2 linked regions of the Arabidopsis thaliana genome follow. The protein of the gene in region 2 interacts with the protein of the main gene of each other region in a biochemical or structural test. Each region holds a gene or a part of one and is shown on either strand. Other genes may lie near its edges. The genes, in order: WRI1 and BBX32.

What was found.
Region 1: the proteins of BBX32 (region 2) and WRI1 form a complex in vitro, tested with the Arabidopsis thaliana proteins (one study listed by BioGRID).

Annotation. Positions count from the first base shown.
Region 1 is NC_003074.8:20,112,444-20,116,370, reverse strand, and holds the start of WRI1 (Integrase-type DNA-binding superfamily protein), read right to left. Parts: upstream 1,688-3,927; 5' UTR 1,563-1,687; coding exon 1,351-1,562; intron 1,245-1,350; coding exon 1,162-1,244; exon of another isoform or gene 1,130-1,161; coding exon of another isoform or gene 1,033-1,129; coding exon 1,024-1,032; intron 906-1,023; coding exon 817-905; intron 723-816; coding exon 598-722; intron 313-597; coding exon 236-312; intron 1-235. Other genes in the region: AT3G54310 (DNA-directed RNA polymerase subunit alpha), read left to right, coding at 3,427-3,826. UniProt on the Arabidopsis thaliana protein: May be involved in the regulation of gene expression by stress factors and by components of stress signal transduction pathways.
Region 2 is NC_003074.8:7,411,928-7,415,752, forward strand, and holds BBX32 (B-box 32), read right to left. Parts: upstream 1,801-3,825; 5' UTR 1,464-1,800; coding exon 786-1,463; 3' UTR 518-785; downstream 1-517. Other genes in the region: AT3G21140 (Pyridoxamine 5'-phosphate oxidase family protein), read right to left, coding at 1-159; MNS2 (alpha-mannosidase 2), read right to left, coding at 2,202-2,453, 2,589-2,759, 2,839-2,919, 3,055-3,156, 3,249-3,357, 3,552-3,617, 3,716-3,825.

The sequences.
Region 1 (3,927 bases), about 13 Mb from region 2:
ATATTCTTAAATCACTCTTATAAACAACAACAAAAAACAGTCTAAACATTATCACACTCTATTTTATACTTACAAAATTATATATTATAAAGCATAACAGGTAAAAAGGATCCGTTATGCCCGGTAAGTTATAAAAAAGTCAATAATTACGCTAATTATTTTAAATTAACCAAGAGTACATATCTATTTTTTTCTAAAAATTACTAGAAGAAAAAAGGGAAAGGAGATAACGTACTATAGGTGCCGAGGTACAAGTACTTGTTCCCAAACACTCTTCCGATCCGAGCCTCCCATCTTCCGTTGTGGTGATGCCTGTTTTTATGAACAAAAATAATCCTATTTTTAAGAATAAAATGACCAAACTATTGAATCCATAAACTTTAGCAGTGCTGAAAAAAACATAATTTATGATTTTTTTTAAGAAAAAGAGAATATTCTAAAAGCAAAATTTTCATGATCAGATTTTTTCCTAATAATTAATTCTGTTATTCAGATATCCGAAAATAGGAAAAATCATTTCTCAATTTGGTAGTAAATTCCGAAATTTAAAAAATAAATCTAAAGAAATTAAAAAAAGAAAGAGAGAAAAAAAGGAACCTAGCGACGCCGCGATATTTAGAGACGCCTCTGGAGAAACCACTGCTCTGGCGGCGGAGAGAAGCCAAATATTCTTCCTTTGTCACTCTCTGCATTTCTTCCAATTCCTTTGTGTACGTCTCTGCCTGATTTTCCCCATTTTTTTTTTTAATTATAATCCAGATTCCAAAATCACAAACATGCATATCAAAACAATCTGATTTTTGTTTTTTGGTTTACCGGAAAATTCAAGATGGTGTCGGGTCCCCAGTACTTGAGAGCAGCCAGATCGTACGTATGTGCTGCTGCTTCTTCACTGTCATATGCTCCTGCAATTACGCGTGAAAGCAGTTGAGATTCTTCTGACCAAATCCACTCTCTCTTTTTTTTTCTCTTTCAATTTAGTAAAAAACAATTGATCTTTTGTTTCAGAGAATTAGAGCTTACCCAGATAAACTGGTGAAGTTGTGACGAAGTTGAGATCAAACAACAGATCAAAGAAACCAAATTTATCAGTTAAAGTCCAGATCTTTATTAAAACAAACAAAATCATGAGTTACGAAGAAAAAAAGAAGAAGACGAAACCTTGTTTGCCTTTCTTGTTCTGAATCGAATTCCAAGAGCTTTTGTCCCAAAGATGAGCCTCGAATCTCCCAGTCCATCTATGTCTGCAAAATCCCACAAAACAACATGCAATCTTACAAATGCAGTTTTAAGACAAAACCCAAATCCAATCTCAACAACCAATCATTTAATTTCCAAAAAAATAAAAACCTAGTGACTCCTCTGTAGATAGAGCTGCGTCGGGTAGAAGCAGGGCTTGTCGGGTTATGAGATTTATCACCAGAAGGAGAAGATTTCTTAGCCCTTTTGGCTCGTTTAGGCCTTGGAGCCTCCGACTGAATAGGAGAGGAAGTAGTAGTAGAAGAAGAAACAGAGGAAGATGGAGAAGAAGAACAAGTGGAAGTGGTTAAGCGCTTCTTCATTAAACTCTGAGAAAGTTTAGATTTTTTTTTGGAGTGTGAGTGATTTGATTTCTCAGAGGAAGAGGAAGCAGAGTGGTTTAAGAAAAAAAGGAGGAAACGAGAAAGGGCAAGTTAAATAAACCCTGAAGGAGGAAAGGGCTAATTGGGTTAATTAACACAAAGAGTTAAAAATGAAATTGTAAGACCAAACACTTGGCCTTCTGTTGCAGCCATGCTACCAATAGCTTTACTCTCCACGCTGTCTTTCTTTTTTCTTTGTATTTTTGTATTTTTTTTTACGTTTTTTTATCATTAACTTTTTTGTACGTTTTATGTTTTGGAATTATTGAATTTAATTTGATTTTTTTCTCTAATTTTTTGGGGGAAAAGTTGGAATGTAAAATATCTTAATTTGTTTTTTTGCAATTCTATTTATTCCCTGGTCAACAATTTGAATTCTATATTTTAAAATTGAAGAATCTACTATGATGATGTTTTGGTTTTAGAAAAGAAAAATAGTAGCCAAAAATTAAAATTTGATTGAATTGAGTTATTATGGTAATGATGGTCTATGAAAGTTGACTAGTTTTTTCCCTTTTAAATATATATGCTTGTGTGTTATAAAATGTGTTAAATTACCTATTAAAGTTCTAAATCTTTTTATTAGCATATTTGGCTATTTGCCTATATTTTCTATAAACGCTCCAAATTAGTTGTAACGTATCTTCGCTGAGCTGTATTATACCAAATTAGGTCTTCAGTGTTCAACAAATTGTCGAATGTTTTGCATGTGTCGATCTAATGTTTATCGTATAAATACATAATTAGAACATACAAAGTAAAAAATGTCAGATGATTATTAACACATTATCGATCTAAAATGTATCGTCGAAAATGCCTAATTAGAACATATGTAAAATGGGAAAATGATCAGATATGATTAGCACGTGTCAATCCGAAACATATCGTAGAAAATGTCTAATCAAAGCATATGTAAAGTTGGATGTTCTAACTGTTATCATTTAACTTTCCACATGATTTAAGCAGACACACGAGTGTTTACAGTCGTTTAAAACAGTCAAAACTCCTTTAGTAAAAACAGAAACGATTTAATTGTAATGCTTACAGAATAATTATCATAATATAGACATGCAACATCCAAAAACAACCAAGACGATAGTCTAATTCGGTTTTAGAAAATTAGATGTACCTTTTGTAGTACGTTAAATAATTCTCGTGATTCGTTTCAGGAATTAAGTTGGGTTGCCAAATAAAAACATTCACCAAAATTTTTAAAACTTTTTTTACTCTAGAGATACAATTGTTTTATTTAATTGTTTAAAAATAAATAACTATTTTTATTAGCAGTAATAATTAAATTTAAAACGTCCTAGAAATCTAAACCGGAAGTGTATATCATAAGAGGAAAAAAAAATGAATACTAAGATTCCTAACATTTAGGACTAAACAATGAGGTTTAGCATTTAAAAATAGTTATTTATTTAACAAAATGTTCATACAATTTTCTAAAAGAACAGAGATTCTCTAAATTATCAACGCTCATAATATGATAACAAGAGTTTCGTTATCGGTTTTATTTTTTGATTTGAAAATTGAAATGAAATTAAATATTATGCACATTTCCAAGACTAAACTTCTAGTGATAAAAAGACCAAACCGTCTCGTCTCTTCCACTTCAGTTCACTGCTCTGCGCCTTTTCAGTTTCCTCTCGTATGATCGTCGTTCTTCTTTTGAATGACCTAAGCTGATATAATTAAAAGGTACTCTTTTGTTTCTTCTTCTCATACTTCGTTGCTCGGAAACTTGAGTTATCTTTTTGGAATCAGCTTTTAATTTTCCTAGTATCATATATTCGTTTCAGAGATGTCTTACGTTCCACCACATAAACGACTTGAAAATGTTGCATTGAGAGCATCCTCTGTTCCACCTTCTCTTCTTAAAAAACACAATAAAAACGTCGGGAGTACTAATACAAAGATAATCTACGCAAACGGTTACATTTCTAGATGGTTTCTCGTTGGTTCGGATCCAGAGGATAGCAACTTTCAACTTGTGCCCGGTTCTTCAGAGTGGAGGAAAGACGCAGAAGAAAAATCTTTGGTAATCTTAGCGAAGAGTGATTTGGGAAAACTGGAAAATCCATGGTTATGGGTGACAGAGAAAGTGGAGGATGACATTATAATGGGATTTGATAGGGCAAAGAAGACGTTGCTAGGTTATGGTGGATCAGAGGATGTCAAACTCAGACTGATCGCTCGGTTTGGTAATGTTGTTTTCCATGAGTAAGGTTTTTGACTTCTCCTCAAATTTTCAGTTTTTAGGGACACACACAAACTCTGTTTTACCTGGGGCAGGGTTAGTGAT
Region 2 (3,825 bases):
GTGACTTGATCCATTACTGAGTCTCAGCTTCGGGAATTGCGTTTTGGGTAGCGAATTACAAAACCAACACGAAGACTGGGAAGAAGTGGGCAGCGGAGATTTGAGGAGAGGCTTAGTCTGTAAATTGGGTGTGTGTGTTGAAGTGAAGAGAGCTTCCATGGTGGATGAGAATAAGATTTTGGTTGAAGAGTCTTCTGATCTTTCACTATAGGCAGATGCTTCAGGCGTCTTTGTTGAAAGTAGCTTTAGGAATTAGGACTTTTCCAGAGTAGGGTTTGTATAACACACACATACATATAAGGGTTTTTCTTTTTCTTTTGGCTTTTTTTTTATAGTTGGATTACGATTACTTTTGTCCTTAGGAATTACTTTTGATGTATTTTCTATTCTCTTTTGTTTTGTTTTGATGTTGATAATAACGAATTTTCCTTGAAATAAGAAAATCAGTTTCTTTTCAATTTACAATTTTTATTGATAATAACATAATATTCTAAGAAATTATCTTTGTTTAAAAAAATTGGGAAAGAAAAGATTTCAATTTCATCTCAAAAGAACCTGATAATGACTATTGGATTACCATTATTCCGTTTCTAAAATCTTCTTACTGTTGATTAAAAAAATTAAATCTCCTCTAAAGAAATATCTATCATCTCAATTGGTTCAGACCATTTTTAGTTTACGTTGAAAAGAAAGATCAAACAGATCAATGACACAAACTATAATTAAGGCACTAAACACTAAATGTCCTAATTTGCATAATGCGGGACCCATGTCAATAATATTTCTCAAACGTTGTCGTTTTCAGCCCATCCTTCCTCCGAATCCACGCGCCACCGTCTAAGCTGCTGCGTCATTGCACGCGCCAATTTGCTTTCAACCGCTCGAATCATCCCAGCTGAAACTCCAGTCACATCTTCTACTTTCTTTAAATTCTGCCACGTCGTCGTGTTCTTAACGCCGAACCAAAACGCCGCCGCTAAGAACACTCTCTTCGTCGCTCTTGGCCTCGTCTCCACAGCCAAAGCCAAAGACGCATATGAAACGACAGCGTTTGTTAAATCCCTGTTTAGTCCTAACTTACCACACCAATTTACAAAAATGCCATCCGCCACCGTAACCGCAACGGCCTTGGCATTCACTCTGTTTTCCCTCCCTCGCGCTCTGTTTACGTCACGCGTCGTTGACGATAGCTCGGAGCTTGAGACACAGTCAAGAGACGAGCAGCAAGAAGAAGACGACGATTCTGAACAACATGTTGTTCGTGGAGGCCAAGGAAGAAGAGGACCAGAAACGAAATTTTGAGTAAGAGATTTGCAATTTGGGCAGATGACACGCCGGAAATGACGAGCGAAGAGAAAATTTGAGGCATGGAACTTAGCGTCACAAGAACGGCAGAGGAAGGCAGAGTCCGCGGCACAATGGAGATCAGCTTCGGCACCACAAAGCTCGCAAAAGCTCACCATTGAGTCGATCTCTCTGATCACCAGAAAGAAGTGAGAGAGAATTGGTTTGGAATGATGATGGTGGGAAGAGAGATTTAAGGAAGAGATGTAAATGATTGAGGGAGAGAAAGAGCGGTGGAGTTTTTATGGTTCATGGTTGATGAGAGTAGTCTCTTCCACAGTTCACACATCAAAGAAACTTACATGAGCCATAATTTTTTAGGGAAATGAAATGAATGGTGTTTGTAGAATTGGAGAGAATGACGTGTCGTGAGGTTTTGAGGCTGGTGAGATTATGTGGTCATTTTTAAAACTATTACACTAGCCGCCAAGTCATTCGTCTTCCTTTTGGTGTGACGTGGAGATTTAGTCAACACTAATGTCTTTTCAGAGACTTGGTCTCATTGCAAATTGCTTCTTCTTCTTTTCTTGGTTGCTTCCATTACATTTCTTCTGCATTGTTGCAGTCTTTTATATAAACTTTTATACATTGATCTTTTGTCGAATACAAAACAGAAGATAATACTCTTAATTTATAATCTAAGGAGTAAGGATACAAAACACAAGGTGTAAACTGTGGTGAACCTGTTTGGGTTCTGATCCCAACTAGTACAACAATAGTCTATATCTTGAAATCTTTCCAAAAATGGTTTCTTAAATAAAAGGGTCTTTGAATAGCCAAGCTAAATCCAATTGCTCTGTTAAGATATATCCATAGAGCCCCTCCTACGAATCACACTGTGACCTCTCCAGGGAGTTTTACTTCTTTGTTATCCGACCATAATGCCTCTGGCGTATTCTAAATGCCGGTTTTCGTAGCAGTACTTTGTTGGATTGTTTGAGATTTACCTGATCGTTTCGAGACTTAATCTTAAGTGGATGAGCTTCGGTGTTGAATACCCACTCGTCTAAAGGAATGACTGTTGTCGGCGAGAAGAGTAGATAGAGATACTTGAGTGTCTCTGCAAGGAAGAAACTTTGCATCTTGTTGTCCTTAACGCCTGTATTAACCTGGAAATGATTGAAAGAAATAAGAATCTACCATCAGTTACACTCAATTACTAATATAGATGGTGGAATGATATAATTCAATTCACCAAGGTTTTAACAATGCAGGATCTAATTAAGCGCCTACGGAAAACTTACATCCTTCAAACCAACATATCCAGACTCTATGCGCGAGTTCTTCTCAAATGCTTCAAATATATTCCATCCCCACTCTTGATATGTCTTGTTTCCAGTTAACCGCCAGAGGTAAAACAGTGATTCGACAGTTTCTGGTCTCAAGATGTTCCACGACGTTCCAACACTCATGTCCTGAATCATCATGTATACTAAACAATAAATAACGCATAAAATAAACAATGTGTTTGAAAAAGACAGGCAAATGACATACACTCCCAGAGTTGAAGAAATAATTCTCCCCAGCCAGTTTTGTTGGAGTTGATTGGTAAAAGTTATAACATGTCCACGCAAGCTGCAAAATATGTGGAAAATAGCAATAAAGGCTATATCTCAGCAGCCTAAATCAGAAAAGCAGAGAGCGAAAAATTCGAAAGATCTGAAGCACTTACGACGCTATGATCAAAGATCATTCAAGTCATAAGTTTACCTCTTCAGCGAGTGTGAGAAACTTCTTTCCTTCAGCAGGATCACTATACCCAGATGCTCCTAAAGCCAACATTCCAGGAGCAAAGCATGCCAATTCATCCATCTTAATATATATGAGAAATAATGAGATTGGAAATGCCAGGCGATGAAGAATTTTCACGTAATACAATGGAAACAATGAACAGATGGGTTTACCTTATCGATCAAAGAATTTCCACTCTTCTCACAGATATATGTAAACGACAAAGGTGTTGATTTCTTAACCAAGCTTAGCAGACCATTCATTGACTTCTCCCACATATCTCTGATGCCAAGATGTCAAGTAATAACAGTACAAATTATTATTGTTCGGCTAAAGATGTTGAAACTAAAAGACCAGAAAAGAAAAGAAGAACATAGATATCAAGCAGAAAGATAAATGTGATGGCAGCTGGTTGAACTTAGCGGACTTGAATCAATCAGACATATATACACTCAGTAGACTAGAGTTAAACTTACCTATAGTGTTTCACTGCTGAAGTTTTGTTCCCAAACACCCAAACTTTGAGCAAATATTCGTAAAAGCTGTACACAAAATATTAGCCGTCACAAATCAAACCAAAGCAGAACCAGAAGGGATCAGACTAGCAGTAATATAAAATGCAATCAAGTTGGAAAAACACCTGTCTCCCATGGCACCAAATGTTATTGTAGACTGCGATGGATTAGCTGTATCGGGATTTATATATATCGGAAGTAAACCATCAGCAGGGAAGTTCTTATTTAGCACTGA